Callithrix jacchus: one gene and its partners. The protein of the gene in region 1 purifies or fractionates together with the protein of each later gene. This does not show direct contact. Links are inferred from orthologs where the notes say so. Each region holds a gene or a part of one and is shown on either strand. Other genes may lie near its edges. The genes, in order: EP300, SMAD1, CITED1, SOX9, SMARCA4, DDX5 and STRAP.

Region 1 (3,500 bases):
AAATAAGAGTCCATGGGGCCAGGAACGGTGGCCCGTGTCTATAATCCCAGCACTTTGGCAGGCTGAGGTGGGCAGATCACTTTAAGGATAGTTTCAGCCTGGCCAACATGGTGAAACCTTGTCTCTACTAAAAAAACAAAAAAAATATATAGTTGGATGTGGTGGCACGCTAGTCTCAACTACTCAGTAGGCTGAGGCAAGAGAACTGTCTGAACTTGGGAGGCAGATGTTGCAGTGAGCTGAGATTGTGCCACTACACTCCAGCCTGGGAAACAGAGTGAGACTCCATCTCCAAAAAAAAAAAAAGAAAATAAATTATTAAATGAGACAATGTGGGTACTTAACACACGGAAGGTAAATGATAAATGCTATTATTATTCCTAGTCTTTCCTGTATTTTAGCCAAGGCTATTTACAAACATTTCTCTTTTGAGAAATAGAACTTTTTTTTTGAGATGAAGTCTCACTCTGTTGCTCAGGCTGGAGTGCAGTGGCACAATCTCGGCTCACTGCAACCTCCGCCTCCCAGGTTCAAATGATTCTCATGCGTCAGTCTCCTGCATAGCTGGGATTACAGGCACGTGCCACCACACCTGGCTAATTTTTGTATTTTTGGTAGAGACAGAGTTTCACCATGTTGGTCAGGCTGGTCTCCAACTCCTGACCTCAAAGTGATCCGCCCACCTCAGCCTCCCAAAGTGCTGGGATTACAGGTGTGAGTCACCGTGCCTGGCCAAAGAGAGAATTTTTAGAGGGTGCTAACCAAGGAACTCTGAAGAAATGAGGGGAATGACTAACTCAATGGTTGCTGCAAGTGAATATAACTTAAAAAAAAAAAAATACATTAGTAACAAGGAAGAGACCAGGCCCAGGGCTTCAAGGTTAATGAAATCACATTAATGGCAACTTCTGAGGCCCAAGAGGCATGATCACAATACCGCCTTGGGTCTTTGGTTTCTTCAGCTACTTCTAGAACCAACAGCCTAAGAGACTCAACTCTTTTTCTTTGACTGTCCCGGAGCTGGAGATGACTGGGTAGCTGAAGTACTTGGCTGGTCTTCCTCCTCTTTTATTTCAGTTTTTGAATCAGTGCCTCTCTCTTCTGTTTCTGTAGGTTCCACTTTACAGTCATCTACTTTAGACTAAAAGAAAAGGGTTTTTAGTATTTCAAAAATATCTACTTGGGAATCAATAAGATCACTATCATTCATTACATCATTTACTCTCCCCTATGGATGTAATCTCACCACCCTTTCTCATGCCATGAGATGTAATTATCAAAATATTCTTCCGCAGTATTTTTAAAAAATTGGGTTCCCAGACTGAGGTCCTAACCACATCAAATAGTAACTTCCCTACTCTCACCTCTGTAATATCCTCCGGCTGAGTATCTGCTGGTTCTGGTTGATCCACCTCCATTTTAGCCTCCATTTTCACTTCCTGGGAAGGTTGCTTCTCAGGAATGGCCTGAGAATTCACTTCTGTGCTACTAGTAGATGGAGGGTTTGATACCTGTCCTTCAGTGTTTACAGCTAGCTGGGAAAGCTAGGCAGAAAAAAAGGGGAGTGGGTGAGACACATACACACAGTTTGCCAGTGATACAATCTGAGTGTAAGGTAAGCAACAGGACAGCAGAATTAAACACCTATTTCTTGGCTTATATTCATTCACGGTGCCTTCATTTGGTCTGCTCATTTCACCTCCTTTAATTATGCTTAAGGACAGGAGAATTAAGACTCGTAAATGCTGGCTGGCTGGGTGTACATCCAACAGCCAGCAACTATTTCACTGATAACTATCGTTCTCTGGCCGTGTGGGGGTTTCAAAGATGTCTGCTTCATAGGAGCTCATATTTATACAAAAATGGGATGAAAGAAAATAACAAAACTGGCTATCTTTTTTGTTTTTACCTTCTCATTACATAAAGTTTCAAATGTACAGAAAAAGAGAATAAATATAATGATGTCCCACATAGTGGCTGTTTTCAATCACTAGATTCTAATGAGATAACTGGCAATCCCTATCTTCTTCCTAAGTCTTGTCATAAGAAACCTCTTAATGAGAAGTCAGTATTTTCTGAAACTACCCTTGATTTTATAAAGAATAAAATTAAACAAATCTACTGGTTCCTCTTTCTGTCCTTCCTTGTCTATCAGAGGCCACGATGAACCAGCCATCCATCAACTACAGTATTTTATAAAATGGCTGTGACACATGGGACTTCTCAGTTCAAACTGTTGAGAACTAATATATTACTATCGATATCAAAGTAGAAGCTGCTAAACCCTTAACAAAAAGAGTTCTATTAATAAGGACTCAACTATTATATGAGAATTTGGATTTTTATTATATACATAACCAACTTCTCACAAGTGAGCTACAGGTTGTTCTGGGTCTGTAATTCTCTCATCTTAGATGATTTTTTAATTTTGGATAGGGCCACAGGGACTCATAAATCTGCGATTTTTTTTTTTAAAGACAGAGTTTTGCTGTTGCTTAGGCTGGAGTGCAGTGGGTGCCATCTCAATTACTGCAACCTCCAACGCCTCCCAGGTTTAAGCAATTCTCCTGCCTTAGTCCCCCAAGCAGCTGGAATTAGAGGTACCCACTAACACATCTGGCTAAATTTTGTATTTTTTGTAGAGATGGGGTTTCACCATGTTGGCCAGGCTGGTCTTGAACTCCTGACCTCAAGTGATCTGTCCGTCGTGGCCTCCCAAAGTGCTGGGGTTACAGGTGTAACCCACCATGCCTGCCTGACTCTAGAATTTTAAAATTCAGTCTCTTAAGTTTTACAGCTCAAACTGTTTGAAAAAAATTCTTTAAATATGTGTCATATTTATATACTGCACTAAATGATATACTAAATAAGGAAGAGGACTGTGTCCCCTTGCCATACCTCTTTACATACCTTCAACCTTAGAGTACAACATGAAACATAATGGTCAAAGTCAGATAGAAATAAAATCTTTATGCTCCTGCTACTATAATAGGTCCTATCACAGCAAGGCACAACAGGGTAAGAAAGTCCCTAATGAAAAAGAGATTACATTCTACTTGTGGAGAAAACAGTAAGTGATAAAAGAGAATAACAGAAATGGCCCAGAAGTAATATAATACTACAGTGTAACTCTAATGATTCTGCCTAAATCCAAATCTCTACTTACTGGAGTTGCAGGCTGTGGAGGAAGCAGCGGTGCTGTTGGGGTAGGAACAGAGGCTGCTGTGCTCTGCTGTGAGCGAGGCTGCTGTTGGGACTGGTCAGCTGAAGGAGCAGCAGGAAGTGAAGACTGCACTTGTGGGGTAAGTTGTGTTGGTGGTGTAGGTGTCTGCCTTGGAGGGGGATGTAAAGCCTGGGACTGTGGCCCAGATGGAATGGCAGGAGGCGTAGGAACAGGGGCTGGAATTGCTGTTGCTGGTGGCTGCTGAGCCCCTATGCTTGGGGGAGTATGATGGGGGGTAGGGGTACGACTAGGTACAGGCGAGGGGGAATTCTGATGC
Region 2 (4,242 bases), on another chromosome or scaffold:
AAAAAAATTACAGCTTTAAAATATCAGTTTATAGCTCCCCTCCCCGTTCAGGATCCAATCAAGGTCATATACTGCATTTCATTGTCATGCTTTTTTTTTTTTTAATAGCTTGAGGAAAATTCACATATCAAATGATTGACCCATTTAAAGTGTACAATTCAATGGCTTTTGGTATATCCACAGAACTGTGCAACCATCACCAGAAACTAATTTTAGAACAATTTTGTCACCCCATGACCTTTAGCTGTCACTCCCCAGGTTCCTCAATTCCTCAACCCTATGCAAACCAACAATCTACTTTCTGTCTCCATAGCCTTGCCTACTCTGAGCATTTCAGATATGTGGAAGAATACAATGTGTGGTCTTACTGTGTTATCTTCTTTCACTCCACATGTTTTGAAAGGTTATCCAGGTCACATGCATCAGTATCAGCACTTCATTCCTTTTTATGGCTGAATAATGTTCTCTTGTATGGGATATTTTGTACTGTTTATCAAGGGAGAGTTTTCAACAGGGGAGTGGCCTAATCTGAGTGGCATTTAAGAAGGTTCACTTTCCTGTTGTTCCAAGCAGCAGAGAATGACCAACTGCATCAAATGCTGCTTTTAGGGAAAATAGGATGAATTCCACGAATTGACCAGTAAGGGCGCAAATAGTTTAAGGAAAAAAGGAATTTACTATACATTGATATATGTTAATGATACACTGGATACACATGGCTGGGAGTGATGTTTTTTGCTTCATGTGAAATTTATTCCTCAAAAAATTATTCTTTTCTAAACGTCACTCAACGTTATGGTAATTATCCAAGATTTTATGCAGCTTCCAGAGAGTTGGCCAAGAGAAAAGTTGACTCTTGCAAGAAGATACTTTCAATGTCCATGCAGATCAGGTAGGTAAGAGTTAAGTTTGTTTTCGGGGTGTTGGCATCATCTAAAAGACTGTAGAAATTGGACCAAAATGTAGAGTTCTAAAGCAGTATCTCCTTGTGGCATGTTATTATTTGGAGCAACAAGGTTACCTACTCGAATCATTGTATCCTGAGTTGACACAAAACCCATCTGTTGACCCAGGGTTTGTATAAGCACGTGCAGTAGTTACTAGCTAACCACTTCTGGGTACGTTCAGCTTCTGGTGCCTGCAAATTATTGGAGAGTGAGTAAGGGACAACGAAAACTAGACATCAAAGGGCCAGTCTCGAAAGATAACTGTCAACATGCATTCCATATTTACAGAAGAGTTAATGAGCGTTTCAGAAAATAAACACATGGAGCATCGAAATTCACTTGCAGATAATGCACCAAGTCCACTCTACCGGGACTAAAGAAGGCAGGGTTAGGAAAGCCAGAACGCCGCCACGCTGTTTTTTCTCCAGGAATAAACGGAGCGTGGGGCTGGGGGTGGAAGGGGGTGACTCGGGCCGCTCCCCCTCGCCGTCCTCCAGCCCAGGCCGCGCTGCGCTCACGCCGGCCGGGCCGGGAATTTGGAGAGGATCCCTGGTCGCTCGGCAGCGGCGGCGGCGCGCGGGTGAGCGTGTGAGCGGGCGGGCGGGCAGGCGAGTGCGCCGGGCATTGGCAGCCGAGGAGTGGAGGCTGGGCGGCTCCGACTCCCTGACGCCAGCGCGACCAGATCAATCCAGGCTCCGGGAGAGAGCGGGCTGAAGGGCGGGCGGAGGAAGGAGAGGCCGAGCGGCTCAACCCGGGCCGAGGCGCGGGAGGGACCCTGGGAGCGGAGCGCGGCGCAGCACCAGGCCGGCCTGACCGGGGCCGCGGGACCCCGCTCTCCCGGCCACTCGTGCGCCCGCGCGGATGGGCGCGCCGCCAACCCGGTAAAACGAAACAGACCCGAACCCAACTTTCCCTTCATGCTGCGTCCACGCCTTCCCCTCGGCGCCCCGGGCTTTCCAGAGCTGACGCCTCTGTACGCGTGGGGCCGCCGCGGTCCTGCGGGGCCGGGGGCGCGGACGGCGGCGGGGAGGGGGCTCTTTCCGCGCGGGGCGGACCGCGACGCCCCCACCCCCCATGATGGCGCCTCCCGGCTGCTCTGAGGAGCGAACCTGCCACCGCGTCCTCTCCTCCTCGCGCCCAGCCCGCCAGGCTCCCCCGGCGTCTTTGTTGGGTCTTCTGCTGTGGGAAGCTGAGTTCCCGGCCCCCTCTAGCCTCGGCCCTCAGGCCTGACCGCGCCGGGACCTCCCCAGCCGCGCTCCCTCTCCGCGCGCTCCTCACATCTCTCCGGTGCTGCAGCCGGGCCGAGGCCAGTCCGCGCGGCCCCGGGCCCATTGTGTCCCCGCGCCGGCGGGGCGACCCCTGCGGGAGCTGGAGAACGGCCGCCGGCGCTGCCTTCCCAGGCGCCTGGAGGAACGGGTCTCGTGGGCGGGGGACCCTGGCGCCCCAGACCCCTCCACATCCCGCACGGGTTTCCTTCTCGGCCCTAGCGAGCCTCTTTGGGGTCGAGGTCAAGGAAAGTTCGCACCGAAATCCCCTCTAATTTATTCAAAGGTTTGGCCGCGGCGCGTAATTTTTTCCTCCTCTTCCGCCTACACCCGCTTCGTCTCCTGGTGTCTCATTCCTTTCCCTTGACCGCAGTCGATTGCCTCACTGCATGTGTATTCGTGAGTTCGCGTTGAACAACTGTTCCTTTACTCTGCTCCCCGTCTTTGTTAGTGTTTCTCGGGGTTGTTTCTGTAGGAAGGTGGGGGTGGTGGGCGTGAGAGACAGACGTGGGCTTGTTTTTCTAGTTGCTGAATCTGTAAGAAGGCTTTAAAGGGAGAACGTTTCCTTGATGATGTGCGTTAGGAGGGGAGGAGGAACAAATGCCTGCCAGATCTCACAACTACAGTAGCTGCGCTTTTGTTTATTTTGAAGCGCATGCAATTTTTAAATAGACGGTGCAAGACAACCAGTAAAGACGCGTTTCTGAAAATTGAGACCGATCTCAGAACCATCTCCTGGGAAAGCATCATTTTCGTGAGTGCCGAGACAACTGTCCTTTTTCTACGTCCCCCCCCCCCCCGCCCGCTCCCCAGTCTTTCTCTCCTTTCCACTGCATCTGAAGTTTCAAAGTACGTGGAATGATACAGAAGTTGCATTTCTGTTGTGTCTTCCTGTTGCTGGAACTCTCAGCTGCTAAATCTCAGAATGCCTTTATTTCAATAAGAACATCTTTGGCTCTAATTGCCTGTTGCGGGTAACTTGCCCACATTTCAGTAACACAGTGAGAAAACTGTTCCCTGCCCATGTTGATTTTTCATCTTGTTTGTAATTAAATTGTATTGAAGGTAGGTGAGCTGTATTAAAAAAGAATCGGGACAGAACCAGTGTTTACTGCCCCAGCATTTTCAATTGGTATAAATATTGTTGCATCAGTGTTATTCTGATGTAGGTGCCAGATCTAAATATGCTGTACTGATTAAAATGTTTGTTCTGCCCTCTCCCACTCTCCCATTTTCAGTTATTTGATATTTCTGTGCAGGTGGTGTATCATTGGTGGTGTAATACTGCAATTCTTAGTAAAGTTTAACTAGGGTTGTGAAAGATGATTTTTCTGGAGGTGGGTGATGCCAGAGGCTCTAGAGGATCCAGGAAGGATCGGGTTTCTTCTGAGGGTAGGGATTTGTCCTTGATTTAGTTTTGACCCCTGCAACCATAGGTATGTAACCAAATACATTTTTCCTCTTGCTGTATCCTTTGGTTTCATATCCTTGAAGAGCTGATGATCTTTGTGTTTTAGAGAAATGACAGTTTTTAGGCAATTAAAAAAACATTGACCTCTAAGACTTCTTGGAATTTAATTTTATTTCTACTAAGTTTAGTAAGGCAGTAAGATGAAGTAAGTCACATTTTCTCAACTGCATTTGTTACATTTATTAGTTAAAAACTAAATTTCACTTTGTAATTTCGATTTCTAGCAATTCTGGGTTAAAGATAAAATCTAATAACTTAGTAGATTGAAAATAAGAAGTAACTTGGGTGTAATTAGACAAACATGTTTAAGCTGCAGTAGCCTCCATAATCAAGGCCAAGTGTGTGTGTATAACAGATCTCATTTGTGTAGTCTTACAAAGCTAATGGAAGCATCACTGAGGCTTTATAAATAATGTAAGTTGTGTATAATGTAGAGTCTCCAGAGACTGCAGAGAAAGCATCATTACCAGGCTTTTCAACCTGCTTGAGATCTTAAATTGATTTACAGCACTGAACTAGTGCAAAATGATACATCAGGATGACATGGGGTCAGCCTGTA
Region 3 (4,003 bases), on another chromosome or scaffold:
CCTGCTCCTTCTCTGAGGCAACCTTAGAAAAATATTTCAAAAGCGAGTGATCACCAGACAAGAAGCCTAACACATGTCGTCTTCAAGAGCCCTAGTACCATCAGTATCAGGCAATTTTCCTGTCCTAAGAAAAATGTCTGGGGGCCCTGTCCATGTTTTCCCAATGCTATCCAGCCTTTCCTCTCCTTTATGCCGCCTGGTACCCGAATGTACAAAAAGAATAAAAAATAACAGGAGTAGCAGCAACAACAGCAAAACCAAAAGGGAAGCATTAGGAAAAGAAAAAGAACGAGGAAAAACTATCTCTATTCTGCTGTCAGTTCGTGGGGGAAGACCATTTTACCGCATCTCTCCCTTCAGGCCGGGGGCTCCTCCAGAAGAGACCCTGCGTCCATTCAGATCTTTAGCCTTCCATTACTGACCAACCACCCACCCTGACCCCCAGCCTGAGTCTGTGCTTCACAGGCGCTCAGTAAGTTGTTGAATGCGTCTGAAGAGGCAATCGCATTTCGATCGGCATCCCTGGCTCTGCTTCCCCGGTTTTCTGTCCTCCGTCACCAACCTCTAGTCCGTTCGAGGGCAAAACTTGGTAACGTGGAAATGTCCCAGCCCGCTCTCCAAGCCGGGAGCTGACCACTGCAAAACGGGCTGCGAGAGGCGGCTGGGAAACCTAGAGCAACAAGTGCCTCCCCGCCGGCTGGTGCCTCGCGGCCCCCCGGCCACCAGTTCCCAGTCCCGCCGCCCGCTCTTCGCTTCAGGCATTCCCTTGGGCAGGCAGCCCCCTCCCGCCTAGACAGGGGTGGGAAGGGGAGAGGAAAACCAGAAGGGAGAGAGAGGCAGGTGGGGGCCTCATCTTTAACCTGTTGGGGGACCAAAAGTTAAAATGGCACCAACCGGATGGTTCCATCTCGATTGCTATTTTCTCACTCAGAAGGAGAAATTTAAAAATCCAAACAGCACTGCGGCTTGGCTTGGACGCGTTCTAACCAGACCAGTCAGTTTCGCCACCTGAAAACTAAAGGCCGGTTGTTTGCGGACAGCTCGGCTGCCCTCCTCGCCGCATCCCAGATGGAACCGCGGAACCGGGGGCAGCCGGGAGCATCCTGCACGGCGGGCGCGAGCACCCAGGCCACCGGGGCACTGAGCGTCCGTTCCCGCAAGTGCTGGATCAGGAACTGATCGAAGAGACAGGATGGACAGGCAGGAAGGGGCGCGGGGTGTCGGCCTCGGCGAGTCCGGGGGCCCGCTGCGTTTCCGCGAGCGGGGGCGCACTCCGGCGCCGGCAGCAGCCACTCCCGCGCCTCATCAACACTTAGCGCCTGCTGAGCATCCGACGCGGCCGCAGGCTGAGCCTACTCGCTAGCCAAGCCGCCTGCGGTCAGCGCTAAAATCCCGCTACAAGAAGAGTGAGAGAGGCTCGGAGAGGTGCAGTAACTTGCCCAAGGTCACAGCGCTAGAAAGTGGCGGAGCCGGGATTCGCAGCCAGGTCTCTCTGACTCCAAGTCCGGAGCTCTGCGAGGCAGGGACTCGGCGCGCGGCTCGGCCGCTCGCGTTTATAGGGAGAGGGGTGTGCGCGTGGGTGTGTGTGTGTGGGCGTGTGTCGGGGGAGGGGAGAGCTGAGGTCGACTGGGCAGCAGAGGCAAGTTGTCCAAATTCACTAACTTCCATCCCGCAATTAACGCTGAACTCGGCCCGAAAAGCCCCTTTTGCCTCCATTCCCCGAAGGAAACCTGAGCTTTGTGCAGCTCCGGAGCCGGAGCTTCCAGATGCGGTCCGGGCGATTAGGAAAGTCGGTGGAAGCCAAGCTGGAGAAAGCGCGGGCGCGGGGAGAAAAGGTTCTGCCGTCTCCCCGGGAGAAGCGGGCGCCTGGCCCGGCTGGCCGGCAGGCGGGCGGGCTGGCGAGCGAACCGGCGCGCTGGCTGGCGGGCGGCAGCAGCGGCCCCTCGCCCCCAGCAGAGTAGCTTTCCAACAGAAAACAAGTCTCCACAGAACCCTCCGGCCCGCCTGGCGGCCACCCGCTCCCCACACAGCTCCCCACACCCGCTACACGGGAGTCCTCGGCCCCGCCGCCCAGCACGGCGCCCAGCCCGGCGGCCCGGCTTACCTCTGCGAAGCCGCCTGCCCTGGAGAGAGGGAAGCGCGGAGCTCGGTGAGCCGCAGGAGAGGCGGCGGAGCCCCCAGCCCCTGGCACGCACGCCGCCACCGCCACCGCCGCCGCGAGCCGGTCGCGCTCAGAGCCCGCGGCCGCGCCGGTGGCCACCCGACCCCGAGGCGCCTGGGAAAAGCCCGCACCGCGCCGCGCAGCCGCTGCACCGCACAGTGCCACGCCAAGCAGCTCCGGCCTTAGCCGGTGCCCTCCCGCCCGCCCGCCCGCGGTTTCGGCGCCGGACTCCGGGGCGGTGGCGGTGGCGGTGTCGGCCACCGCGCTCCCTTCCCGGCGCGGGGGACCCGGCTCTCAAGCCCCCATTGCAGCCCGGAGAGCCCTGACGCACACGCACACGACAGCAGACTGGCCTTGGCTAGGAATCCCAGGAAGGACAGACCCTTTTTTTCCCTTTTTTTTTTTCTCCCCCCAATTTCCACGTCTTTATAACCGGCTTAGGGCATTATTAGCACATGTCCTGGCTCTTGGGCGAGTTGGTGGCAAAATCTGAACTGGATACTCACGGAGGGCCCGCGCGAGTGTTGTGCAGTCCTCTTCTTTCTCTGTCCTCACCGCGAACTGCCCCTCGCCGGCGGGCTACAGGAGGGCAGCCGGGCAGAGCGAGCTTCCTCTCGGCAGCTCAGCGGTGCCCCTTCTGCAGCTGTGCCGCCGGGAACATTTTTATAGCAGTGGCTGCCTTGTGTGGCCCTTTAAAGGCGCTCAAGCTGGTGCAGCCACCCCGGATCGTGTGAAAGCGAAGGGCCGGCTGGGGAACGGAGTCCACGCGGCCCCGCGGGTCCTGCAGCCCTGTGGACCGGCCACGGCTCCCGGGTTGGGGCTGGGGAGTCCTGGCTGTGGGCACCCCTCGCCCAGAGCCCTGGCCGGTGCCCGGCTTCTAAAGCTGTCGGGGGCCAGGGCCGGGGACACCGGCTCTCCCCACCGACCTGCGTGGACTTGCCCAATAAATTCCACTTAGTAATTTCACTGAGGCAAAGGAGAGCCGTTAGTGTCTGTTTTCTGACCTAAATCTAGCGGGGAGCCAAAGCGGGCTTCGGGGGTTTTGGGAGAGAGCTGTGGGCTCAAGGAGTGACCTGGAATAGAGGTCTAAGGCACACGGGACGGGGCATGGTCATTAGTTTTCTGCGGGGCTTTCTGCGGGGCTTTGTATCCTGTCTGCCTTTTGTGGTGGGGCAGGGGGTGGCTGTACTATCTCATTCGTTTAACAGCTGAGGCTGGGGGTTCCTTTTCCTCTTAAAGTTGCCAGATTCTGCGCAGAGTCGCATGGAGGGCCTAAAGGGCAGTGGTGGCTCTCCTCGAAGTCCTGAGCTGGGGTTGCGTTGGAGGGTTTCTGCTCTGTGGTCATCCAGAGCAGGAAGCTGGCAAGATGCGACGCGGAGAAATGCTACTCTCCCGGACCGTGGGGCTAGGTGCAGCTCAGGAGGCTCGCTGAAAAACCAACAGCCGGCAACAGGATACGAAGAGCTTGCACCAGAATTCGTGGAGATTCCTTCTGCCTTCCTACGATGCCAGGTTCTTTTACTATGATTATATAATCATTCGCGTCTAGCAAGAATAACATTTTGCATTTGGAGTTCGTCTTCCTTGGATAGAGATGTCTTACAAATCCTTACTGGAAAGAGGTCTGGGTCTTCTCCCTTATCTCAATTCGTGTTCTCTGTGGCCAAGAAATTCCCACCATACCTCTCACGGGAAGGTCATCAGGATTACCTATTACCGCCCCCTCGCCACCGCTGCACTTTTTCTGCTGCCTTTCAGCAACAACTACTCAGTTTACACTGTTTATAAAACCTGTTCTTTAAGAAAAGGTCCTGAGGTTAAAAAAAAAAAGCGGGGTGGCGG
Region 4 (4,039 bases), on another chromosome or scaffold:
AGCATTTCGTGTAAGCACAAAGGTTGTGCTCAAATCACACTTAAAATACATCAGAGACACTACCAATGCCTCCCCCAGAACTCCCAACTGCATGAAGGTCTCAACCGCCCGGACTAGAGTCAGAAGCGCAGGCACTTCACCCCTTCAGGTGTTTAGTAAATGCCAGGAAAAGCAGGCAAGCACCACGACTCCGCCAAAGTGGAGCGTTTTGTCTGCGGTGGTGCCCATCTGTTTTTTGGCCTTTTACAAACCAAGTGACCGGCCCGGGCCTCGCGGCTCCGGACGGCCGCACTGGCAAACTTCGATCTCTCAAAGCCAGAGCAGTCTGCACATTCTCCCCAGACAGGGGGGACTCGGCTGACGTTTTTGACTCGGCCAGGAAGCAAAGACCAAAACGTCAGCGCAGTAGCCCCGTTACTAAGGAGCGTCGGCGGGGTCGGGGGGTAGAGGGGGCCGGAGGAGGACTTGTCAGAGTTCAAGGTCGGTGTGGCGCGGGGCGGCCCCGAGAGCACTGGGCTCCTGCGGCATCGCCAAGGCCGCCGCTTCCAGCCTTCTTGGGGACTTAGCGCTTCTTTCCATTGACTCCCTTTGCAAAAGCTCAGCCGAAACCTGACCAGCCGCACCAGCCCCGGCGAACCTGAGCATGTTAATCTATTTATATGGATTATTTCGGAGGAACAGCGGGCGTTGAGTCACCAAAACATTTGCTTCAAAAGACTATTTCTAAGCACTTTTGCAGGCAGGCAGGCAGGCTCCAGGCGCGCAAACTCGGCTACGCATTAAGGATCGGCTGCCTTTCGAATACTGCAAACTCCAGCTAAGTTCCCGGTGCCGCGGAGAGAGCAGTGAAAAGAAATGTCGGATCTACTGGGGATAGATCCCAGTCTAGACACACACACTTGCACACACGCACACCCAAAGATTCGCGCAGAGAAGGCACTAAAACTCTGGCATTCCGAGAGTACGACAAACTTACACACTTGAAGTCCCGGGTCCCCCGCCTTCCCCGCAGCATCCCCCCCCCCAGCCCCCACTACCCCACCATCCACCCTTTGGCTGCGCTCCCCTCCCCTCTCCTCCCCTCCCGTCTCGTCACCCAGCCCAGTGCCACAATCCTTCTCCCTCCTCCAAAATCGGGTCCAATCAGCTTCCTGCCAACCCTGGGACTGCCGCGCTGTGATTGGCCGAAGTCTCTAAGGTGAGGCGGGTATTTATTGAGGAGACCCTGGGCTGGGAGTTGGAGAGCCGAGAGCGGAGCTCGAAACTGACTGGAAACTTTAGTGGCGCGGAGACTCGCCAGTTTCAACCCCGGAAACTTCTTTGCAGGAGGAGAAGAAAAGGGGTGCAAGTGCCCTACTTTTGCTCTTTTTCCTCCCCTCCTCCTCTCCAATTCGCTTTCCCCCACTTGGAGCGGGCAGCTGCGGACTGGCCACCCCGCGCCCTCCTAAGTGCCCGCCGCCGCAGCCGGCCGACGTGCCAGCCTCCCTGGGAGTTGCTCGCTCCGCGTCCGGGCAGCCTAGGGGAGAGGAGCCCGCGCCTCGAGTCCCCGAGCCGCTGCGGCTTCTCGCCTTTCCCAGCCACCCGCCCCCTGCCCCGGGCCCGCGTATGAATCTCCTGGACCCCTTCATGAAGATGACCGACGAGCAGGAGAAGGGCCTGTCCGGCGCCCCCAGCCCCACCATGTCCGAGGACTCCGCGGGCTCGCCCTGCCCATCGGGCTCCGGCTCCGACACCGAGAACACGCGGCCCCAGGAGAACACGTTCCCCAAGGGTGAGCCCGACCTGAAGAAGGAGAGCGAGGAGGACAAGTTCCCTGTGTGCATCCGCGAGGCGGTCAGCCAGGTGCTCAAGGGCTACGACTGGACGCTGGTGCCCATGCCGGTGCGCGTCAATGGCTCCAGCAAGAACAAGCCGCACGTCAAGCGGCCCATGAACGCCTTCATGGTGTGGGCGCAGGCGGCGCGCAGGAAGCTCGCGGACCAGTACCCGCACTTGCACAACGCCGAGCTCAGCAAGACGCTGGGCAAGCTCTGGAGGTACGGGTGCCTGGTGGGGGTGGCGCGGCAGGGTGGGCATCGCGGCTGCGGGGGTGCTGGCCCGGGCTGGCTTTTCCCGCCCCGCCTCCTAGCGCCCAGGAGTTGCCATTCCGGGAGCCGACTGGATCGGGCTGGGAGTAGGAACGGGGTGTAACTGGGGCTCAGAGTTTGACAAAGTTCTGGCTTTGCTCTCGGGGACGAGGAGGAGGGGGTGGTAAGTGGAAGGGGAGGAGGAGGTAGCCGGAGGATGGGCGAAGGCTGGTGGGAGACTGGGAGATGGAAGGAGGGGCTGCCAGCCTGCTCTATGGTCGCCTGGAAGCTCAATCGGGGCGGGGGTGGGGGGAGTGAAGTTTGCCTCCCCCCACCCCGCCCCTTAAAACTGCACTCTGTCTTGCAGTCCCCTACACCCATGGAGGGGGCAGGGGAGAAACTGAGGTTGGAGGAGACCCTTGGCAGGAATTGTGAGGGGGAGGAGGGAGGCTGCTTGAAATAGGTGGGAGTATGGGGGGGTGAGAATTGGGGAGTTTCTTACAGCTTAATTTGGGGGAATGTTTTTAGAAGGTGTTGGGTTGGGGGCGATAACTCCAGCAGCAAAGGCGTTTAGGGGGCAGCAGCAGGAGTTGTTTTCATCTCCAGCGTTTCCAAAATAGAAATAGAAGGGAAGGGGCGGGAGGGGGCGGGGAGTGACCGCTCAGGTCGGACTGCAAGAACTTATTTATTTATTTTTTTTTTTTAAGAAAAGTTATGAGCTGTGGTTGGAGGGAGGAGGGAAGATGGGGTTGCCGGCAAAGGAAGCCGAGTGGTCCTGATCGCCGCCTGCTCCCCAGGGACCTGACAGTTCGGCGGGTTTCACTGACCCCCCTCCCTCGTTTTCTCTATGCCCCCCGCCCCGCCCCGCGCAGACTTCTGAACGAGAGCGAGAAGCGGCCCTTCGTGGAGGAGGCGGAGCGGCTGCGCGTGCAGCACAAGAAGGACCATCCGGATTACAAGTACCAGCCCCGGCGGAGGAAGTCGGTGAAGAACGGGCAGGCGGAGGCCGAGGAGGCCACGGAGCAGACGCACATCTCCCCCAACGCCATCTTCAAGGCGCTGCAGGCCGACTCGCCGCACTCCTCCTCTGGCATGAGCGAGGTGCACTCCCCCGGCGAGCACTCGGGTGAGTCGCCCCTCGGCCCCGCGGGACACACCACCCCCTGCCCTCTACCTGGGAGATTCTTCGTAGAGACTTGACGCTTCTCGGGAGGGACACGCCACCCTTTGCGCCTGTCCCACTTCCCTCTCCACCCAGAGCCTAAGAGGCACCCAGACAGACACAGGCGCGCGTACACACACACAAACACACCCCTCAATCCCAGCATCCGAAGAGATTCGTGTTTTGTTTTTTCTTTATTGGGAGGTAAAATGCCCTTACAGCCCTACAAGACCTCCCCCTTTCTTCCCTTTGCACCCCACCCCAAAAGCACACACAGGGCTCTTCTACAAGTAGCAATTTGGTCTTCCGGACCCTCCAGGCCCCAGACCCTCACCTGATAAAAGGGGGCTGTCCAGTGTGTACTGGCGGGTTAATCATTGGGCGACTTATCTCCTGTGCAGCGCGCCTCCCGCGCGGGTGCGGGCCCTTATTGCCCTGTCGCAGCGAGGGAGGGTGCCTGAGACCAGGGCGTCTGCGCAGCCCGTGTTGACTTTCCCGTGCTTGTTCTTTTATCGTCCGCAGGTCAATCCCAGGGCCCGCCGACCCCACCCACCACCCCCAAAACCGACGTGCAGCCGGGCAAGGCTGACCTGAAGCGAGAGGGGCGCCCCCTACCCGAGGGGGGCAGACAGCCCCCCATCGACTTCCGCGACGTGGACATCGGCGAGCTGAGCAGCGACGTCATCTCCAACATAGAGACCTTCGACGTCAACGAGTTTGACCAGTACCTGCCGCCCAATGGCCACCCGGGGGTGCCGGCCACGCACGGCCAGGTCACCTACACGGGCAGCTATGGCATCAGCAGCACCGC
Region 5 (3,403 bases), on another chromosome or scaffold:
GCAGAGGTTGCAGTGAGCCGAGATCACGCCTCTACATTCTAGCCTGGGCGACACAGACTTCGTGTCAAAAAAGAAACAAAAAAGAAAACCTCAAATTATTTTCTGGATTTAGAAGCCCTTCCTGACCACCGGGCTTCCTGCGCTTTATGCCCTGAGCTTCCTGCAGAATGGGCCTGACCGAGAGCTCTATGTGACGTCTGCCCGTTTCTGTGAGGGTCTCCACAACCCAGCCCTGGCCACAGGCAGGGAAGGGACAGAGCCACCTGCTCCCCGCACCGTAGGACCCAGGTGAATGCATGCTGGAGAGCTGTGGCAGCAAAGGCCACCTGCATAGCCAGGCAAGTCCTCTCTCCCTGCCACGTCTTCAGGATCCTCCTCTGTGAAATGGGCCCCATGGGTTCTGGTGCTGGGAGGACGGGGACCTGGACATGAGGTGGCCCCGCCACTACTGCTGGCAGAAACCCGGGGAGCCAGGCATGAGTCCACCTGTAGGCTGTGCGTTTTGTTGTTGGTTTAATTTATTACTGATTGACATCCAGTGACACTGACATACCCCGGCGAGTCTGACCTGTCCAGTAAAATACAGTACGAGGAGTGGACGGTGACGCACATGCATCCACGCTGAACTACAGTGACTCCAAACTGCCGGGAAAGGAAAAGAAAAACAGGTATCGTGTGTTCCCCAATTCCGAATTCTCTCTCTCTCTCTGTTAGACAGTTAATGCTGTTACAAACGCTACTGATGCCAGGACAGGGCCAGTCACAAACAGTCCTACAGCTTCTCTGCCGTATAAATATGGAAGATTCTTTTGTTTATACAGTTTTATCCCAAGTCTGAAACTACGTCTGTTGCTACCCGTTACTGCTAAGGCCTATGCCATCTCGGCTCTGGAACGAGGGGCTCGGGGTCGAGACTGGAATGTCGGGGTTCAGTCTTCCTCACTGCCACTTCCTGAGCGGTCCTGGAGAGGAGACAGGAGAGAGTGAGTGTTAGCTGCCCCTGCCAGAGGCCTGCCAAGCATTAAATAAACTTGCTCAAGAAAAAAAAAACTGACGCTGGCCACAGAAGCTGCCGCAACCACGGCCACACCCCAACTTCATGTTTCTCTAGAGCAGCAGTCCCTGTGCCCACACTCACTCTCTTGGGACCCGTGAGGCTCCATGTGCCTTCCCTGCTCTGTCCCATGTCACTTGCCTGGCCTTGGGCCCCTGACCTACAGCTTCCAAAACATTTTGGCTCTTCCTGACTGCGAAAGATCTTTGCGCTTTCATGTAATTTTTTTTTTTTTTTTGAGACAGAGTGTAGTGGTGCGATCTTGGCTCATTACAACCTCCGCCTACTGGGTTCGAGCAATTGTCCTGCCTCAGCCTCCTGAGTAGCTGGGATTACAGGCGTGTGCCACCACACCTGGCTAATTTTTATATTTTTAGTAGAGACAGGTTTCACGATGTAGTTCAAGCTGGTTCTGAATTCCTGACCTTGTGATTCACCCGCCTTGGCCTCCCAAAGTGTTGGGATTACAAGCACGAGCCACCGTGCCCAGTCCTTTTATTTTTATTAAAAAAAAAAAAAAAAAAATTTTTTTTAAGACAGGGTCTTGCTCTGTTGCCCAGGCTGAAGTGCAGTGGTGCGATTATGGCTCTCTACAGCCTCTACCTCCCAGGCTCAAGTAATCCTCCTGCCTCAGCTTCCCAAAGTGCTGGGATTAACAGGTGTGAGCCACCAGGCCTGGCCTCATAAAGCCTTTTTTTTTTTTTGGAGACGGAGTTTTGCTGTTGTTACCTAGAATGGAGTGCAATGGCACAATCTCGGCTCGCCGCAACCTCTGCCTCCTGGGTTCAAGCAATTCTCCTGCCTCAGCCTCCCGAGTAGCTGGGACTACAGGTGTGCACCATCATGCTCAGCTAATTTTTGTATTTTTAGTAGAGACGGGGTTTCACCTTGTTGACCAGGATGGTCTCGATCTCTTGACCTTGTGATCCACCCGCCTCAGCCTCCCAAAGTGCTGGGATTATAGGCGTGAGCCACCATGCCCGGCCTCATAAAGCCTTTTTAAGCCTGGCATGGGCCATAAAACACGCTGTTCTGGGTTGGGCAAGAGAGATGCCACTACAGCCCAGACCCTCCTGTCTGACACACGGGCCTCCCTTCCCCATGAGGACTTCATGAATGTCCTCAAAGGTCACGTGCCTGTTTTGTCAGACTAATTCCCAGGCACAGACATTTCCTACTTCTGTAATGACCAAATGGCATTCATCAGGCTTTGGTGGGAGCCAGGCCTCGAGCGGGGGCAGCCCCCATAATCCACGCAGCCTCCTTGTTTGCTAAGAGGAAGCTGAAGCTTTCAGAAGCAGAGTGGCCTGCCAGGTCCCATAGCCAGGAAGGGCCAGAGACAAAGACGACGTATCTTATTTATAGCTAGCAAGGGGGCTAAGCGCAGTGGCTCACACCTGTAATCCCAGCACTTTAGGAGGCCGAGGCGGGTGGATCACAAGGTCAGGAGATCGAGACCATCCTGGCCAAACGGTGAAACACCATCTCTACTAAAATACAAAAAAATCATGGGGCGTGGTGGTATGTGCCTGTAGTCACAGCTACTTGGGGTGACAGCTGAGGCAGAAGAATCGCTTGAAGCCAGGAGGTACAGGTTGCAGTGAGCTGAAATGATGCCACTGCATACCAGCCTGGCAATAGAGTGAGACTCTGTCTCAAAAAAAGCCAGTAAATGTATCTGTTCAGGCTCCCCCACTGCCCCCCCAGAAACTTTCCACTGTGTGCCACTAAGGAGATGGGGCACTGCCTGGTGGGTCCTCAATCCTGGCACCTCCCACCTGACCCCAATCAACCCCTGGCCTGCCCAGCCTCACCCCAGACGCTGGTGCCCTAGGCCCACCTCCTGTCCATCCTGAGACCTCAGGTCCCCCAGTCCCCAGACATGCACAGGTATTGATAGCTGGTTTTAGGGTCACACAGGCCTGGGCTTAAGTGGCAGCTCTGCCACGTACTTGCTGTGTGACCACGGGCCAGCCATGGAACGTGAAGCCTCAGTTTCCCCATCTGCAGAGTGGGAGTATTGCCCCGTAGGGCCATCCCGTCAGGGCCCTGGGCTGCCTCCTGCTGCCCGCCAGCCCTGCCTGCCCCACCTGCCCCGCCTGCCCCGGGGCCCAGCCTCACCTCCTCTTGTTCCTCCTCACTGTCATCGTCACTTACGACCGGCTTGGCTCGGGACCCTCGGCTCGGCCGCCGCCGGCTGCCCTTCAGCCGGTCCTGTGCCTTCTCCTTCCGGCCAAGCTTGATCTTCACTTTGACAGATCGAGCTGGAGGGGACCAGAAGGAAAAGGGAGCTGTGAGCTCTGGGAACACAGCACCTCTACAGCAAGGGGCATCTGGGAGCTGGGAGGG
Region 6 (3,993 bases), on another chromosome or scaffold:
AACTTAGGCTATTAAGAACTGGTATAATGACAACATCAACGCTAATGCATTTATTAAGTTTTTCTTTTTTATTATACTGATCTAAATGAAAGGAAATATGGGAAGTATATGAAAACATCCCTAAGCTCAGAATTATCAATACTGTTGACCTTTCCTGTGCTCCGGACTCCCCTCTCCCAGATATTGCTGGGACTTGCAAAGTTTAACGGTTTCTCTAGCAAAAGTAACTTCGCATAAAATACTTGTTCCCTGAAATGCCTGGCATTGGTAGGAAAGCACTTTCCTTCGGTACTAGACACAAACGTCTCCACTATATTCCGGACACATAACGTTCTGGAAACAAATGAGTGTATCTTCCATGCACATAATTCCCCTCCCCACGCCCATTTCTCACAGTTGGCCAAACCGTGAGAACTGGTTTGTATGCAGTCCTGGCGAAAAGGATGAAAGCGTCCTAGACAACCAAACCAATTCGCTTTTCAAAAGCGTTGCTAGACAAAGCCCATGACTTCAGAGAACACTGAAGAGAAAAAAGCACCAGTATTCTGCGACATGGGCATCAACAAATCTTAAGGTGCTGTTCCTTTAAAGACCAATACAAAAGTAGATTAGACCTCAGGACCCACAGTACAAGGGCGGAGGGCACACTGACAGCGGCCAGACAACTCCACAGAAGGACAAGTCCGGGAACGACCCTTCTGGTTGCTCTTTTTGCACCCAAGACCCGAGTGTGCTACCAGGCTCGCCCCAGTGCCTCTCTCCTACCGCCTATCACTGTTCCACAGCCTCACAGAGAAGGAGAAAAGCTGAGAGACCCTATCCAGAGAACCCGCCACCGCGACGCGGCGTCTGACAGTCACGAGTCCCGCCGACAGCCTAGACCCAGTCCGGGCCAGCCCAAGGCCTCCCTGAAGCTGGACGGCCTCAGTTCACACCAACCGTGACCCCAGGCCGACACTCACCAGCCTCCGAGCCGGCCATGTTTTGGAGGCAGTTTGCCGCCGGACCCCTACAGGCCAGGCAGGCTACGGTGTCCTGGAAGGACCGATCCACACAGATTCGACGCTTGGATGAGGGCGAACGAACCCAAGCGCTGGGAAGGAGGCGTGAAAGAGGGAGGGACATCAAAGGGGCTGCTCGCCGCTGATTGGTCACAGAGCAGCACTTCCTTTCACAGCACGTGCCAGGGCGGCGGTTTGCTGAGTTTAGAGACCATTCTCCGCTGGCCAGAACCCGGTAGATGATTGTCAGATCCGTGGGTCGGCAGCCCAGGCGGGTCCTGGGGCTTTGGGAGCGCACTTCCGGTACTATTTCGTTATGTATCCCTCCGCCGACGTCAACGGAGAAGTAGTGCGGCCCGCTGACCGGTGGCGGGGGTGGTAGTCACGTGACACGCCAGTCCCCGCCTGCCATTTGGTTACGGGCGTGAGGGCCCTTTGGAGACGTAAACATCTCCGAGTGAGGAGGGTTGGCTGGCCTGGGCAGGCTGTTTTATCGTCTGGCTGGGCCTGGGAAAGGGCGGGGTGGCTTGCTTGAGGTGTGGAAAGACGAGAAGAAGGTAAGGTCAAGAGAGTGCAGAATGAGACATTCCAATAGTGGGTGGGCCCTGAGCTGAGAGGCTCTCCTGGAGCGCCGGCTGCCGTTGCGGCTTCTGCGCGACGGGCGGGGCGATTAGGTCATAGAGCGGATCCCAGCGTTCCTTGCGGCGTAGGAGGCGGTCCAGACTATAAAAGCGGCTGCCGGAAAGCGGCCGGCACCTCATTCATTTTCACCGGTCTGTGGTCTTGTAGCTCCGGATTGTGTCATCGCCGTCCGTCCTCCGCTGCCGCCCCCGCAAGGCTTCGCTGTTGTCGAGGCCATTTCCAGCGACTCGTCGCACCCTTTTGTCTGTACTTCGTTCCCCGCCAACCGCAACCATTGACGCCATGTCGGGTTATTCGAGTGACCGAGACCGCGGCCGGGATCGAGGGTGAGTGTGGAAGCCGAGCTGTCAGGCCTAGCAGGTGGGGGATGGGACGGCAGGTGAGGGTGGCGGCCGGCGGGGGCTTTGGGGCTCGGACTCGGCCTTTCCGGATTCTCCTGGGGCCTCGTCTCTTGAACACTTGCGCCATTTTGATAATCACGTAACAGTGATTGGGAGTGGTTTATCGGTGTAGTGCCCTCAAGCTCGCTTTTTGTTGGGATTAGGAAGTCGTCGGGGCCGCTGCCATTTGGTAGCTGTTGGAGGAATTCAGAGGGAGCATATTGTGCGTTGGAAAGCACGACGTTTCGAGTAAGACGAAGTAGCAGCTCTTAGATTCTGCCTTTCAGGAGGTGTTTTTCGGGTGGCCGGGCATTCTGTGGGAGCTCTAGGACCACTTCTAAAGCCACTGATGCTGGGGGGGGTTAGGAGGGCGGTCGGCATTGCCGGCATCAGCCATGTGGCTGAGTCGCGGGTACAAAATGCCGGCCTCGGACATGGCGGCGGCGCCTTTGTTACCCCGCCCGGCGGAGGAGCTCAAAATGGCAGCGTCGAGAAAATGTGGCGCAGAGAGAAATGCGAGACAAAGGGGGAAGCGCCGCCCCAGCGGGAACGCCGCCCGGCCGGCTCCGCCCGGGCCGGGACTCCTCCCCCGGTAGTCGCCGGCTCCTCCTTTTCTTTTTTCCTGCGTTATATAATTTTTATTCGTTGATCGGGAGCTCTACCGCGGCGTCCCCCCAGCTCGGTTTGCTAGCAGAAGTATTTGCGAGAAAACCCTTGTTTTGGTCTCGCTGTCTGTGCTGTCTCGATTCTTTAACACCAAAGCTCTTTGGCTTGAAAACGGCCATATGAGTAACATCGTTGGGATGCTCTTTGGTTCGTGTATCCTTGTTATCCCTGATACTTAATTCCTAGACTGGTGGGGAAGATTATAGTAACCGCAAGAAGTGGTGTGTATCCGAAATTATGGCATCTGGGCCGCAAGTTCCCGACATGATAAATCCAGGGCTGTTTACATGGCCTAAGTGTGTACTTGGGACTACTAGAAATGTTAACTGTGGCTAAGAGAAAGACTATCGTTAAGGACAGTGCTTTGTTTACTAAACCTCTTAAGGTCGTTTTTCAGTGATCTGTAGCTTTGTGTCAAGGGATGGTAAACAAATCTGTATAGAAACCTGTGTTTAGATATTTGAAAACGTGAATAACGTTTTTTCTTTGCAGGTTTGGTGCACCTCGATTTGGAGGAAGCAGGGGAGGGCCTTTATCTGGAAAGAAGTTTGGAAACCCTGGGGAGAAACTAGTTAAAAAGAAGTGGAATCTTGATGAGCTGCCCAAATTTGAGAAGAATTTTTATCAAGAGCACCCTGATTTGTCTAGGCGCACAGCAGTGAGTAAATTAATGTGGCTTCATCAGGCTGTAACTCAGTAATGGATTCTAGTAAATGAAAATCTGACAGGTGTTTTGCAAATGATTCAATTTTGGTAGTTACGTTTTCTGACTTCATAATTGGGAAAGTTGTGACTCAATAGGTGGCTTTGGGATTTTTTTTTTAACTTAATTAGGTTGAGAACGGAATAAACTGTTCTTTTGCCATATAGTGTTTTCATATATGGGTCAGATAAAAACGAAAGCTACTTTACTCAATTACGAATTTAGGGGCTTACCAGTTACATTTAGCTAGGGGTGGTTGCCATGAACTTTAAGACTGTTAAAATTTGTTTTGCAGCAAGAGGTGGAAACATACAGAAGAAGCAAGGAGATTACAGTTAGAGGTCACAACTGCCCGAAGCCAGTTCTAAATTTTTATGAAGCCAATTTCCCTGGTAATTCTAGTTTTCAGTTCTATCTACCACTGGGATTTTGTTCCCACCCACTCCCTTTTACTTGGCATTACTAATTTTTACTAAATATCTGTCACTATAGCAAATGTCATGGATGTTATTGCAAGACAGAACTTTACTGAGCCTACTGCTATTCAAGCTCAGGGATGGCCAGTTGCTCTAAGTGGATTGGATATGGTTGGAGTAGCACA
Region 7 (4,129 bases), on another chromosome or scaffold:
GTTTCAAAAATAATAAATGAAATAAATAAATAATAAATAATAAATAACCAATAATACTTGTACTCTCCAGCCTCTTAAGTCTAATAAATCTGTGTATGTACAACAGCTCTTGATATTGCCTTCATCAGTTTAAACAATCAAGTGTCAAATTCCTAAGTTACAAATACCAGGTAGGAACTGGAAATAACAAGATTTATAAAACATTATACATTCCCAAAAAGGCAAAGAGGGCCACTGCCAGTCAGTTTAGTAACATCATTAACAGTCAAAAGTCAGCACAGGTAAGGTATATTCTGGCAACAGTAAGTGTAGTATAATTAGATTGTAGGGTTTATGGTGTGCAGGGCCAGAAGATGATGCTGAAGAACTAGGATGAAGCGAACTGTAAAGTGTCAACAACTGAAGTGTCCTTCAGGTCCGTGCTTCTAAGGCTGCACACAGGAAAGAAAGGCAAGAAAAAAAACCACCACTGATCAGTATGATCAGTACTCCATCCTCAGACCAATCAAACCAGAAGGTCTGTGCCAGGCATGGCAGTTCACCCCGTAACCCCAGTTCTTTGAGAGGCTGAGGCATGGAGGCCAAGAGTTTTAAGACAGCCTGGGAAACACAGCTAGTGTCTATACAGTAAAAAGCATTAAAAAGTATTTTTACATGTAGCAAAAAGTATATATATAGAGAGAGAGTAAAAACCCAAAAAAAATTTTAAATCCGAGTTTCTGGGACACATACATTTGAATATTTGAAAAGCTCTCCTGGTATTCTAATGTATATCAAAGGTCACAAAATACTAAAATGGCAAAGGGAAGACAGGAAAATCATTAGGCAGAGAAGTGACATGATCAAACATGTTTTTAGGAAAACAACTGACAACAATATGGAATATGAAGAGGAGGAAAAGAAACTACTGGAAGAAAGTTAAAAATGATTGTGAACTAAGGCAGCAGCAGATACTACATGGAGGAACACTGTAATCAGGAGACATCCCAGTGGCAGAATCAAAAAAAGATGATGATAATCTAGATGTAAGGGAAAATCAAGAATGTTTTACATTTCAACCTTCAAAAACTTAGGAAATGAAGAGAAGTTGAGTTTTTTTGTTTTTGTTTGTTTGACACAATGAGTGTTAGTGATGCCTAAAGCAAGCTAACAAAAACTGGGATTGAGATAAAAACCTAAGGCCACCCATGTAGGATTTCACTAAGGAGTACACACAGAGCAGCATTCGTAAAGGAGATCAATATTCATCATCTGGAGTGTTTGTTCATGCAGGCTCCTGAGTCTTAATCAAAACATAAGGAATAAGTCATTTAAGCCTCTGAAAATTTTGAGAACCACTGAAAACAAGCACACAGGACCACAGTGGAATTTTGGTGAGCTCAAACATCTGGCATTCTACATAGCAGCCAGTGATTCAGAATTCTATGAATATCTGAGGTTGAACTTTTTCATTATTTCTGGACACAATCTACAGAGAACACCGACGTTAGCCATCTTGGCTACACTTACGCTGTGAAATCCGCAGCTGCTGTAGCTGCTTTGCTGGCATCCTTATTCAGTGTTGCACCCCAAACAGCACCTTTATGACCCAAAAACGTTCCAATCCAGTCTCCTGTATCTCCCTGGCGTAGCATAGGTTTACCATCTAGAAAATATTTTTTAAGACATGTGATTTAAAGTTCAGATTAAAGTCTAAGATGCAAATGTAAATATACAATGATGTTCAATGACAAAGTGGAAAAATCGTTTCAACTATTTAACCGCCCATTGAAGTCACCAAGGAACGTCCAGAAATAAATTAACTGAGAGCCGAACAGACCATTCTCTCTGAAAAGCATCTGTAATTCGGTGGGAATGCTGATCTGCGTCAAAACAATCTAGATTTGACTCTTAATTTGGACAAACACCTTAGCCTAAATCTCAGTTTCCCATCTGAAAAATAAGGCTAATGCCACAAAGGAATATCCAGTGAGACAAGAGCGAACGTCTTTGTTAAGTATTTCACGGCCTGGCCTAATTTCTCCTTTCCCCAAATCCTTGAAAGCTATTTACAACGTTGTCCCGAGAGTGCAGGCAAGTGCTGTCCAGCTCCTCCAAAAATAGCAATAAAAAGAAAACAACGAGAGGGGTCTTAGTTGGAGGTAACAGTCTCTACAAAAGCGTCCAGAGGTCTCTCGGCTCCAGTTGCGGATTCTCGAACACATTGCTTTCTCCACCGGACTTCCAGTGCTGGCCCTCACTTCGGAGGTTAATAGCGTTCCCTCCCCGCCCCCGCCAACCCCGCGCTTCGGCACTGGAGCGTGCGGGTCCCAATCCCTTTCAGCCCAGTCCCAGCGATCGGGGACAAGGATCAGAGGCCTTGCTCACCTTTGCAAGCGCTGATTAAGAAATACCCATAAGGCGTGATGCCACTGAAGGCCAAATCAACTACGGGCCGCGTGTGGCCAGAGCAGGTGAGCGGCGTCTGTCTCATTGCCATGGCGGCGGCGAGTGCGGCTACCGGACTGGAGAGCCGAGGGTCGTCGTTGTCTTTTTCTCTCGTCTGCTGCAGCGCCTCCGGCTCCTCCAGGCCCCCGCCCTGACACTGGGGCTGGGCTGGGAGACAGGAAAAGGAGGGCAATCCGGTGGCACGGAGGTTAGGAAGGGGTGAGGGTGGGGTCCGGGAGTCTGCGACGGGCGAGCGACCGTCGACGAGGGAGGGAAAGGGAGGGAGGGAGGAAAGTAGGGGACGGGGAGAAGCGGAGAACCGACCCAGCCACGATTCACAGCGTCCACACCGGCATCGACAGGAAGTGACGACGTAAATAATGCGCAGCACCCGCCGGAAGTGACGATTGGCGGGCGGGCCGACTCGCGGGGTAGAAGTGACTGGAAGAAGCAGCGAGAAGTACAGGGAGGTGCAGGAGCCGGTTGAGTTCTTATCGGACCGCTAGCACCGGCCCGCGCCGGCTACGGCAGGCGCCTAGAGGCGCTCTAGGCAGCGGGTAGGGTCCCTCGCCCCGAGCTCTAGCGGGTCAGAACGCCTTCCCCGCTCGCGGCCGAGTTAAAAGCCGTTCCCACTCCCATAAGCCCATGGGCCAGCGGCTGCTCTGTGCCCGCCGAGCAGCCCCGCTGAGGACTGTCCCCGGCATCTGATCATCTAGACGGACACTGGAGCCGTTCCCACCGACGGCCCAAACTAGCGAACACTGTCTAGCAACATTTTTTGCAATTTGTCTTATGTAAAGACTGCATACGGGCTTGACGTGGTGCCACCTGTGGTCCCACCTACCTGGGAGGCTGGGGTGAGAGGATTACTGGAGCCCGAGCGGTCGGCCACTGCACTCCGGCCTCAGCAACAGGGCGAGACCCTATCTTAAAAAACAAATTCCCCAGCCATCTCCTGCTGTGTCAATTTTGTGTTGCTAGTGTTGTAGGCGTCGATACTATGTGCTTTTAAACGCGGTTCAAATTCAAGTTACTTTTTCCTTGGTTGACTAGGGTGAATAGGGAAGGACCACCAGGTAGGGGCAGGGCTAGGTGTGTCTGAGCTCAGACTCTATTTGGGCAGCCTTGTTGCGGGTGCTGTGGGGAATGGGCGTGAGATTCCCAGGCTACTGGGATTGTGTATACAGGAGAATTATGGCTGCCTCTGCTGAATCATGCAGGTTGTCAGGGAAGTAGGAGAAAGCCCCCAGTCACAGGCCTCATTCAGATCCCATGCAAAGCAAAGGGCTGGTCTCATTCCCACTGTGACCCTGCAACAGCCCGGAGTCTGTTTCCAGGTGGAGGGTGAGACAGGCTTGAAAATTTGCCTGATGCTATCTACCTCCCAGCTGCAAAAGAAAAGGGCTTTAGTTCTTCCCCTGCCTGTGTAGTGTGCAAGCCAGATTCGCACAGTCCCCCAAGTTCTGGCCAGGCTTCTTGCCCAGTTCACATTGTTACAAAGTTCAGCTACAGATTCCTTCTTCCTGTGGAGTTTTGCCATCTGCTCCCCTGGCCACTCTTCCAATGGATCCCTGTGGTCCCAGGCAGGAATGGGCCGCTTGGGGACCCAGTGAGCTCCCAAGGCCTTTCCGCTGCTTCCTCTACCCCGTATTTCACTCGGCTCTCTAACTTGACTCAGCTCCAGGTAAAGTCAGAAACTTCT

Evidence for each region.
Region 2: the proteins of EP300 (region 1) and SMAD1 purify together in Homo sapiens (affinity purification with western blotting; 5 studies listed by BioGRID). This does not show direct contact. The link is inferred for Callithrix jacchus from reciprocal best matches to the Homo sapiens genes EP300 and SMAD1.
Region 3: the proteins of EP300 (region 1) and CITED1 purify together in Homo sapiens (affinity purification with western blotting; 3 studies listed by BioGRID and IntAct, with this or other methods). This does not show direct contact. The link is inferred for Callithrix jacchus from reciprocal best matches to the Homo sapiens genes EP300 and CITED1.
Region 4: the proteins of EP300 (region 1) and SOX9 purify together in Homo sapiens (affinity purification with western blotting; 3 studies listed by BioGRID). This does not show direct contact. The link is inferred for Callithrix jacchus from reciprocal best matches to the Homo sapiens genes EP300 and SOX9.
Region 5: the proteins of EP300 (region 1) and SMARCA4 purify together in Homo sapiens (affinity purification with western blotting; 4 studies listed by BioGRID, with this or other methods). This does not show direct contact. The link is inferred for Callithrix jacchus from reciprocal best matches to the Homo sapiens genes EP300 and SMARCA4.
Region 6: the proteins of EP300 (region 1) and DDX5 purify together in Homo sapiens (affinity purification with western blotting; 5 studies listed by BioGRID and IntAct, with this or other methods). This does not show direct contact. The link is inferred for Callithrix jacchus from reciprocal best matches to the Homo sapiens genes EP300 and DDX5.
Region 7: the proteins of EP300 (region 1) and STRAP purify together in Homo sapiens (affinity purification with mass spectrometry; 3 studies listed by BioGRID, with this or other methods). This does not show direct contact. The link is inferred for Callithrix jacchus from reciprocal best matches to the Homo sapiens genes EP300 and STRAP.

What each region holds. Positions count from the first base shown.
Region 1 is NC_133502.1:191,955,154-191,958,653, reverse strand, and holds part of EP300 (histone acetyltransferase p300), read right to left. Parts: coding exon 3,167-3,500; intron 1,545-3,166; coding exon 1,365-1,544; intron 1,142-1,364; coding exon 997-1,141; intron 1-996. UniProt on the Homo sapiens protein: Functions as a histone acetyltransferase and regulates transcription via chromatin remodeling. Acetylates all four core histones in nucleosomes. Histone acetylation gives an epigenetic tag for transcriptional activation.
Region 2 is NC_133504.1:51,521,875-51,526,116, reverse strand, and holds the start of SMAD1 (mothers against decapentaplegic homolog 1), read left to right. Parts: upstream 1-1,442; 5' UTR 1,443-1,527; intron 1,528-1,627; exon of another isoform or gene 1,628-2,966; intron 2,967-4,242. UniProt on the Homo sapiens protein: Transcriptional modulator that plays a role in various cellular processes, including embryonic development, cell differentiation, and tissue homeostasis.
Region 3 is NC_133524.1:69,534,786-69,538,788, forward strand, and holds the start of CITED1 (cbp/p300-interacting transactivator 1), read right to left. Parts: upstream 2,801-4,003; 5' UTR 2,668-2,800; intron 2,615-2,667; exon of another isoform or gene 2,124-2,614; 5' UTR 2,105-2,123; intron 1,896-2,104; 5' UTR 1,731-1,895; intron 1,530-1,730; exon of another isoform or gene 1,440-1,529; intron 1,016-1,439; 5' UTR 908-1,015; coding exon 895-907; exon of another isoform or gene 1-894. UniProt on the Homo sapiens protein: Transcriptional coactivator of the p300/CBP-mediated transcription complex. Enhances SMAD-mediated transcription by strengthening the functional link between the DNA-binding SMAD transcription factors and the p300/CBP transcription coactivator complex.
Region 4 is NC_133506.1:128,133,516-128,137,554, forward strand, and holds the start of SOX9 (transcription factor SOX-9), read left to right. Parts: upstream 1-1,239; 5' UTR 1,240-1,605; coding exon 1,606-2,036; intron 2,037-2,938; coding exon 2,939-3,192; intron 3,193-3,750; coding exon 3,751-4,039. UniProt on the Homo sapiens protein: Transcription factor that plays a key role in chondrocytes differentiation and skeletal development.
Region 5 is NC_133523.1:10,214,749-10,218,151, reverse strand, and holds the end of SMARCA4 (SWI/SNF-related matrix-associated actin-dependent regulator of chromatin subfamily A member 4), read right to left. Parts: intron 3,319-3,403; coding exon 3,176-3,318; intron 1,051-3,175; exon of another isoform or gene 963-1,050; coding exon 930-962; 3' UTR 501-929; downstream 1-500. UniProt on the Homo sapiens protein: ATPase involved in transcriptional activation and repression of select genes by chromatin remodeling (alteration of DNA-nucleosome topology).
Region 6 is NC_133506.1:89,766,629-89,770,621, reverse strand, and holds the start of DDX5 (putative ATP-dependent RNA helicase DDX5), read left to right. Parts: upstream 1-1,193; 5' UTR 1,194-1,304; intron 1,305-1,397; exon of another isoform or gene 1,398-1,558; intron 1,559-1,755; exon of another isoform or gene 1,756-1,790; 5' UTR 1,791-1,925; coding exon 1,926-1,969; intron 1,970-3,181; coding exon 3,182-3,347; intron 3,348-3,687; coding exon 3,688-3,784; intron 3,785-3,884; coding exon 3,885-3,993. Other genes in the region: CEP95 (centrosomal protein of 95 kDa), read right to left, coding at 963-981. UniProt on the Homo sapiens protein: Involved in the alternative regulation of pre-mRNA splicing; its RNA helicase activity is necessary for increasing tau exon 10 inclusion and occurs in a RBM4-dependent manner. Binds to the tau pre-mRNA in the stem-loop region downstream of exon 10.
Region 7 is NC_133510.1:7,425,223-7,429,351, forward strand, and holds the start of STRAP (serine-threonine kinase receptor-associated protein), read right to left. Parts: upstream 2,801-4,129; 5' UTR 2,480-2,800; coding exon 2,368-2,479; intron 1,646-2,367; coding exon 1,510-1,645; intron 1-1,509. UniProt on the Homo sapiens protein: The SMN complex catalyzes the assembly of small nuclear ribonucleoproteins (snRNPs), the building blocks of the spliceosome, and thereby plays an important role in the splicing of cellular pre-mRNAs.